2 linked regions of the Rattus norvegicus genome follow. The protein of the gene in region 1 purifies or fractionates together with the protein of each later gene. This does not show direct contact. Links are inferred from orthologs where the notes say so. Each region holds a gene or a part of one and is shown on either strand. Other genes may lie near its edges.

Region 1 (3,815 bases):
GGTCTGCGATCGCTCACCAAAAAGGGGGGAGGGCATTTTCTTTTTAGAATTTTTCAATCACAAAGTCATTTTGAAATATTCATTTACTTGGAGCATACTTTGCAGTTGGTGAAGTAACTTACCAGAGACAGTTTGAAGTGCACAGTGCACCCCTCCACATATCTCCCACCCACCCAGTGGGTACCAAGGAGAGTCTTCAAGGGTGGAGCTGAGCCAAAGGAGTTGTGTAGAGGGACCAGTAAGGGTTCCGTGGAGAACTGAGCCTGGGCGAGCTGTGTATCTGAGCGCAGGCCGGGATGTGGACTGCAGGTGTCATGGTCCAGGAGCTACGTCAGCAGAGGCTCTGCCATCTACTGAGGTCTAGGGTCCCCTCAGCCCAGAACCTCCCAGAACGGCCCTGAAATATCCAGTTTGCTCCCATGAGTCAGAGCACCCTGGCTCCTAGGGTACTGTTGGTTCCATCTATCCACGTGTGCTGACATGGTGGTCAGCCATGGTGTGCTGTCCCTGTGTTGCTCAAGGAGAGGGGTCATAGAAAATGTTTTACACTTGAAAACAAACCTGGGCACCCCTCCTAAGAGTGTGTGGCAATACTGAAAACAAGCCTAAATTGTTAGCGTTTGTCAGTACATAGGAGCGTCCCGTATCCGTTTTGAAATGAACATTCTACCCAGTAATAACTTTTGCATAATTCGAGTGTGTATGACTATACCTCTAAGAGAACATCAGTATAATTGTCTTTATATGGATTTCAGAATTACAAACGCCATATGGATGGCATGTACGGGCCTCCAGCCAAGCGCCACGAGGGAGACATGTACAACATGCAGTATGGCAGCCAACAGCAGGAGATGTATAACCAGTACGGAGGCTCCTACTCTGGCCCGGACAGAAGGCCCATCCAGGGACAGTATCCCTACCCCTACAATAGAGAAAGGATGCAGGGCCCAGGCCAGATGCAGCCACATGGAATCCCACCTCAGATGATGGGTGGCCCCATGCAGTCATCTTCCAATGAGGGGCCTCAGCAGAATATGTGGGCTACACGCAATGATATGCCTTATCCCTACCAGAACAGGCAAGGCCCAGGTGGCCCTGCACAGGCACCCCCTTACCCAGGCATGAACCGCACAGATGATATGATGGTACCTGATCAGAGGATCAATCACGAGAGCCAGTGGCCTTCTCATGTCAGCCAGCGCCAGCCTTATATGTCATCATCGGCCTCCATGCAACCCATCACGCGCCCACCTCAGTCATCCTACCAGACGCCGCCGTCACTGCCAAACCACATCTCCAGGGCACCCAGCCCTGCCTCCTTCCCGCGCTCCCTGGAGAGCCGCATGTCTCCAAGCAAGTCCCCCTTCCTGCCTGCCATGAAGATGCAGAAGGTCATGCCCACGGTCCCCACATCCCAGGTCACCGGACCACCCCCACAGCCACCGCCAATCAGAAGGGAGATTACCTTTCCTCCTGGCTCAGTAGAAGCATCGCAGCCAGTCCTGAAACAAAGGCGGAAGATTACCTCAAAAGATATTGGTAAGCATTAAAATGGATTAAAATGCAATCTAGAACTTTTAATACAGACACAATTCCCATCTGTCTCAATTGGATGAGAATCTCAACAGTACAAATTATAGGCTACTTATCTATGGGAGCATTGGTTAGAAGCCACGTGTCTGAATAAGAAACAGACCAGAGAAAAGCCTGAATCTAATGACACTCAGGTGCAAAGGTTGCTTGTAGAAGAGACTAGCCCTCCAGGGAGGGGCCAAACCCCTCAGTCACACAGGCTGGGTGCTGGCTTGAGCTTTAGACAAAACCAAGCCACTTGATTTCTACACTGGATGCTCGAGAGATCCACTGGAGGCCAGCCACTCTAGTGACAATGTAAGATGAGTTTCCATAGGGAGTAGGGCCTGGCCATGCTGCGCAGATAGGTAGGTATGGTATGTGAGTGCCCTCCGCTGTGATTTCCGGCACTGATGTAATCACATCACACTGGCCGACACAGTCCAAGGAGCTAACTCAGCTGAGCTAGTATTGCTTACTTGTCCTCTGCGAAGGCCATGGGCATACTAATTAGTGGTCTGGGGTGTCCGTTAGTTAACAGCTTCTTCTGCATGCATTTTGAAGTTCTTTTCACACAACAGAGGAAATAATAGCTCTTGGTTGTGTAAGAAAATTTTTTCAAAGATTTTGGAATCAATTGTCTTAAAGCCATTGGCAGTGATTAGAAAATGAAAGATTTAATTAACGATGTTAAAGATGTTTTTAGTTGTTAGACATTAAGAAGGGTATCTTGTATATGGGAACTTTAGAGAGATGATGGAACCATAGATACTGAGCCCTATTTTATAGAAATGTAAATGAAATAGCTATCTACGTTTGTGTGTTTAAATAGTCATAAATCTACTTTTTAAAAGCATATTTACTTTATGTGATATTTTGCCTGCATGTTGTATCTGCATGTGCCGACAGTGCCCAAGGAAGCAGAAGAGGGAGTTAAATCCTCAGGAACTGGGTTGCAGATGACTGTTAGCTACTGTGCGGGTGCTGGAACGCTAACCCTGGTCTTGTCCAGGAACCAGTGTGCTTAACCCCTGAGCCTTCTCTCCAGCCCTATATCTGGTTTTGAATCTTGTTTTGTTTTTAATCTCTTAGTCCAGTTTCTGTCAGTGCTTGCCTCCAACCTAGGGAGATTTTATTTTCAAAAGTCTGATCCCTTGTATGACAAAAGACATGTTTTCCTCTTAAAACACCTGTAAAGCCAAATCCCAGGAAGGACACCCTTGGACACAGCCCCTCCCTCACTGCATCATAAGACACATCATAGCACAATTGCCCCTCACACTGCACTGTAAGGAGCTGGGAGGATGGGTAGATCAGTCCCCCTCTCTCTTTCAGGTCACATCACAGGCCCCTGCAGTTTTGAAAATCTCCCAGTGTAGACTCAGGACTTGTAGTCCAGTATACCCCATCCTCAGCAAAGCTGACAGCTGTCATTTAGTCATACTTTTCTAGGGGCAGGAGTAGGAAGAGTGACAGAGAATGCAGACTTTCAGTCTCCCATTCCTGGGCACGGTCGCACCTGAAAATCAACCATTGGAGTACCTGTTCAGCCACAGCAGGGTATAGCTGTGGGAGAACACAGACATTCTCTGATGTTACACTGTTTGAGGATTACATTTTCCTCCCAAGCCAGCTCTGCTGAGCTTGACTCGATCATTACCCTTACTAAGTGGCAAAAGAAATGCTCACGATGACAGGACCATGTGTGCTGGCCATGCACTTGGGGCTCCTGTCCCACCACCAGAACACAAGAGCAAAGTAGCATGTCTACTTACCGTCCCCAGCTGAAGTCAGATGATCACACACAGCTGACTGCTGCACAGCGCTCCGCTTCCTCCTCCAGAGCTGGTGCTTACAACACCCTCTTCTCCTTTCTAGTTACTCCCGAGGCGTGGCGTGTGATGATGTCCCTTAAATCCGGTCTGTTGGCTGAGAGCACGTGGGCTTTGGACACCATCAACATTCTCCTCTATGATGACAGCACTGTCGCCACCTTCAATCTTTCCCAGGTGAGGCAGCTGCACACAGCTGGCAACAAGTTGGCGTGTTCTAAAATGGAGTATGCATAATGCTAAGCTGGTGCCTAAGGTGCTGTGCAGCCAGCATCCAAGACTGAATCTCTGTAGTTAGTGTAAAGCAGCACTAGTCAATACGTAGTTGTCTGGGTACTCACTCTGGGATAGCAACTAATTTCTATCTTCAGGGTACATCATGTGAGGTGTGAGTGTGTGTCTGTGTGAGTG
Region 2 (3,815 bases), about 160 Mb from region 1:
CTGGAGACCAGAGCGTGAGTGGGTAAGGGAGGCTGCCTGACTATAAAAGCACTCAAGGAAGCAGGCCAGGAGGGTTGTGGGTACCGAGTACACCCTGCTTTTTGAGGATGGAGGTACCTGAGCGGCCACAGTCAGAACAGGACACCAGCTCCTCAGGCTGCCCTGTCTTCTTGTTGATTTTTGAGTCTCCCAGGCAGAAGTCACAGTAGTTGTTAGGCAGGGCCAACCCATCAGGTCCTTTCTTGGCTACAGAAAAAGAAAAAGACTCTGATGATGGTCAAGGGAGCTCTGGGTTACCCTACATTCTCTAGACGGAGGATTTTTATAAACAAGCTGGTTCCTCTCCTGATTGCCTGCCCCGACAGCTCAGCTTACATTTCTGCTCCTCAGACCTCTGGGACACAGGAGTGGGTGGTTGGGAGTCTTCTTTGTCCTCTCCTTCCTCTTCAGCCAGGTGGGAATGGGCATAGTGGTAACTGAGGCCAGGTCGGTTCTTGTAACGTTTTCCACAAACTGGGTGGGAAAAAGATTGCAGAGAAATATTAGGACACAAAGGTGCTACTTTCCCACTGTGACAAGTTATGAAGCTCCAAATGAGGCCCAAGGGAAACCTCTGCCCCAGTGTCCCTACTCTGGCACAAGCTTTAGTGACAGTCCCTTCCCTTTAGCCAAGAGCATCAAGCCCTGGGCCTCTTTAATTTCTGGGACTCTCTTCCCTCTCTAAAACACAGACCCATAGCTACCAACATTTTTCCATGCTGGCTTCTAGAAGGACTTAGCCTCTGCTGCATCAACTTGCCCAAGAAATAGTAACGTCTGGGAGCTCCAGGTCGGGAATGTTCTACAGTGTAGCCTTATGGCAAAAAGGGGGATGTGATGAGGAGAGACCAGGCTCTTTTTCTGCTATGTAGATGTGTCAGGCTCATGCCACCCTGTGCATGCCAATCTCAGCTGAACAGACAAAGGGCTGAGGGTGGGTCTCCTGGTGAGCACCTACTAACTGCCAGCCAGGATAATTTCCCGCAAAGAAACTGAAATATATTCCCACACTAGTGCCCTGCCCAGCCCCTGCCAACCAACAAGGAAAGATTACATGGCATTTTATCTTGAGCAATGACACCAAGAGGAGCAAGGAGGCCAGCAGGAAGGAATGGGAGGATGGGAGGAGGTGGTGGTGTTGATGGTGGAAATGTGAGCTGACTGCCTGTTGTCTGGTTTGGGGAACATCGGATGAATCTATCCATAATGGGTTTCTGTTAACACTAGGCCAAGTGGCCATAGGAGGCAGTCTGTGATGCAATGGTAAAGACAGCTGCTAGGACTGAGAATGGAGCACAACCCGGGTACCACAGCACTACCCTCATACCGTTGCAGATTCCAAAGCTAGTATCACAGGAAATGAGAAAGGTAGGAGGAACAAGGGAAGAGGGGAAAGGGATAGGAAAACCACAAGTCTGAAAAGTTGAGAGAGCTACCTCTCTGGGGCGCTTTCGAGGTATGCTTTTGTTTGAAACTATCTGAAAGACAGAAAGAAAAGTCGTGAGAAGAAGGCCTTGATACATTTGAGACAGGGCAGCAGCAGCAGGAAAACAGAGCAAGTGAGAGAGAACCCCAGCAGTGGCACTTCAGGCTGGAGGCACGGAAGTAGGGTAAGCCAAAGCAAAGGGAGAGAGGACAGACACTAACCCTCAGGGCTGGCCGGCCCCTGAGCCCTGCCCTGATGGGTCAGCAGATCTAGATGCTGCCCACTATGAGGCCAACACTGCCTGCTTTGAGTTCCCTCATTCTCCCACCCCAGGACCCACAGAAATCTCTCCCCAGAGCATGCAGGTCCCACCCACTATGAAGCGAAGGCCAGGTTGGCAGGCAGGACAAGAACCCAGGCTTGTTTTACCACTCAGTGCAAGAACATGACCTCCCCCCCCCCCCCCCCATATCCAGAGCAGGAGCTGGGTCTGAGGCAAGAACTACCCACCCCTAAGGTGGCACTCACTGTCACAGGCATAGGGCTTATCCCGGTCCTCCAGGATGGAAGCGTCCAGCTTCTTCCGGGCACTGCTCACACCCTTACTCTGCCAAGAAAACCAAAAAGATGATGCCCTCACTAACACTAAGCGGTCTTGGCCAGAAGAGCAAGGCAGAAAGCAAGAAATGTCATAAGATTGGCCTCCACAGACCAGCCTACTTCATTATTCCCTCCTCACCTTGGATTTCCCCTTTCCCCGACGCTTTGGAGTATCTTCTTCATAGTCCTCGTCATCAAGGTCGTCTAGGAAGTCATCGGGTTCAAGGATCCGCTGAGTGGAGCAGGAGATTGGAATGAGCAGAAGTCAAGCACATCCCAAAGCACCCTCACAAGATAGAATTAGCCCCCTGGAACTACCCAGAAGCCTCTCTGAGGCTTAATCCACAATCATTCTTCACCCTGCAATCCCATCACTGCTTCCCCAAATGCTTTCTTTTCCCTGTGCCTCTTCAAGTTGCTCCCCTAGCCTAGAATGTCTGTCCTCCATCTCTCAGGAGCCAAACACTGTTTCCATAAAGCTCTCCTGGCACCCCAGGCAGCCTCGTCCTGTTCTGCCTGCTCTGCTTCCAAAATGCATGTCCTACTTTAAATAAGGTTTTCTGCTTACTTGACCTTGGGAAGTTTTAACCGCTTTGATTCTGCCTCCCTGTCAATGAAATGGGAACCACAGGACCTACCTCATGAGGCTGCACAAGAGGAAGCATATGGGGAATACTTAGCAGCGTACCTGGCTCATCTGTAGCTCTTCTCATCTTTAAGCTTAGCATTAACTTCCCAGTTGACAGGTGGGAACCAAGTGTGCTTCACCTATGTCACAGCAGGTATCTAAGTCTCTAATAGTCAGTCTTGCCTTGTGTGAGAGAGAATGAGTGTGTGAGCCTGTGCTGGGAAGGAGTGTGGAAGGCTAGATGGAGCCAGGCTGGGGCTGGCAGAGCCCAGGACTGCAGGGCAGCCTCCGCCTCCATTTCGGCTATTTTTGTTTTTTGTGTTAGGGCTTACACATCAACAGGCATGTATTCTACCATGATCTGCTTCAGTTCTACTAATTGGACCAAAAATTGGCTCAGAGGTTAAGAGCACGGATTGCTCTTCCAGAGGTCCTGAGTTCAATTCCCAGCAGCACTTGGTGGCACACGATTAGTGGTCCAATTAGTAGACCCAAAAGAGGCTGATCCTTATTAAAGTCCTTTAGCCATAGATAGGAACGACATACCTTCCGTGCTCGACTGTTGGTAACAGGAAACTCGCCCAGGCTGTCATCATCAACTCGGGGATCTGGGGCACCCCGTTTCTCCAGGGGATCAGTACGCAGCAGAGCCTCTAAACTGCTGCCATCCTGGGAGATAAGGCCCTCTTTCTTCAGAGTCTGGTCCGTGTCTGCAACAAGTCAAGATGAAGCTAACTCAGAAGGGCTGAAGCTGAATCTACACCACGAGGGGCCAAGTCAAACCCAGCCACTTCTGTTCTCCAGGAACCGAGATGTATCTGTTCAGCCGGCACTGGAATAAGCTGCATTACCTGTTTTCACTAACAGTGGGCTCCCTGAAGGACAGAAGCAAAGTATGTGCAAGCTCAACAGAGCCTGGGGAGAGCCGGCAATCAGCAAGCCTCCCCTCATACAGACCATGGCCTTCCTGAGAAGGGAGCCCCTTACTTGGTTTATTTACTCTGGATTATTTTAGTCATGACATATAAGACATAATCATATATGTCTATATGGCGCATGAACACATGTGGCTACACATGTTGGGAGGACACTGGGGGCTCTGCCTTATTGCCTTGGAGTCTC

What was found.
Region 2: the proteins of Arid1b (region 1) and Dpf2 purify together in Homo sapiens (affinity purification with mass spectrometry; 7 studies listed by BioGRID and IntAct, counting the BioPlex papers as one, with this or other methods). This does not show direct contact. The link is inferred for Rattus norvegicus from reciprocal best matches to the Homo sapiens genes ARID1B and DPF2.

What each region holds. Positions count from the first base shown.
Region 1 is NC_086019.1:48,319,974-48,323,788, forward strand, and holds part of Arid1b (AT-rich interactive domain-containing protein 1B), read left to right. Parts: intron 1-755; coding exon 756-1,539; intron 1,540-3,450; coding exon 3,451-3,581; intron 3,582-3,815. UniProt on the Homo sapiens protein: Involved in transcriptional activation and repression of select genes by chromatin remodeling (alteration of DNA-nucleosome topology).
Region 2 is NC_086019.1:212,618,175-212,621,989, forward strand, and holds part of Dpf2 (zinc finger protein ubi-d4), read right to left. Parts: intron 3,404-3,815; coding exon 3,240-3,403; intron 2,298-3,239; coding exon 2,205-2,297; intron 2,073-2,204; coding exon 1,994-2,072; intron 1,518-1,993; coding exon of another isoform or gene 1,476-1,517; intron 514-1,475; coding exon 376-513; intron 247-375; coding exon 118-246; intron 1-117. UniProt on the Homo sapiens protein: Plays an active role in transcriptional regulation by binding modified histones H3 and H4. Is a negative regulator of myeloid differentiation of hematopoietic progenitor cells. Might also have a role in the development and maturation of lymphoid cells.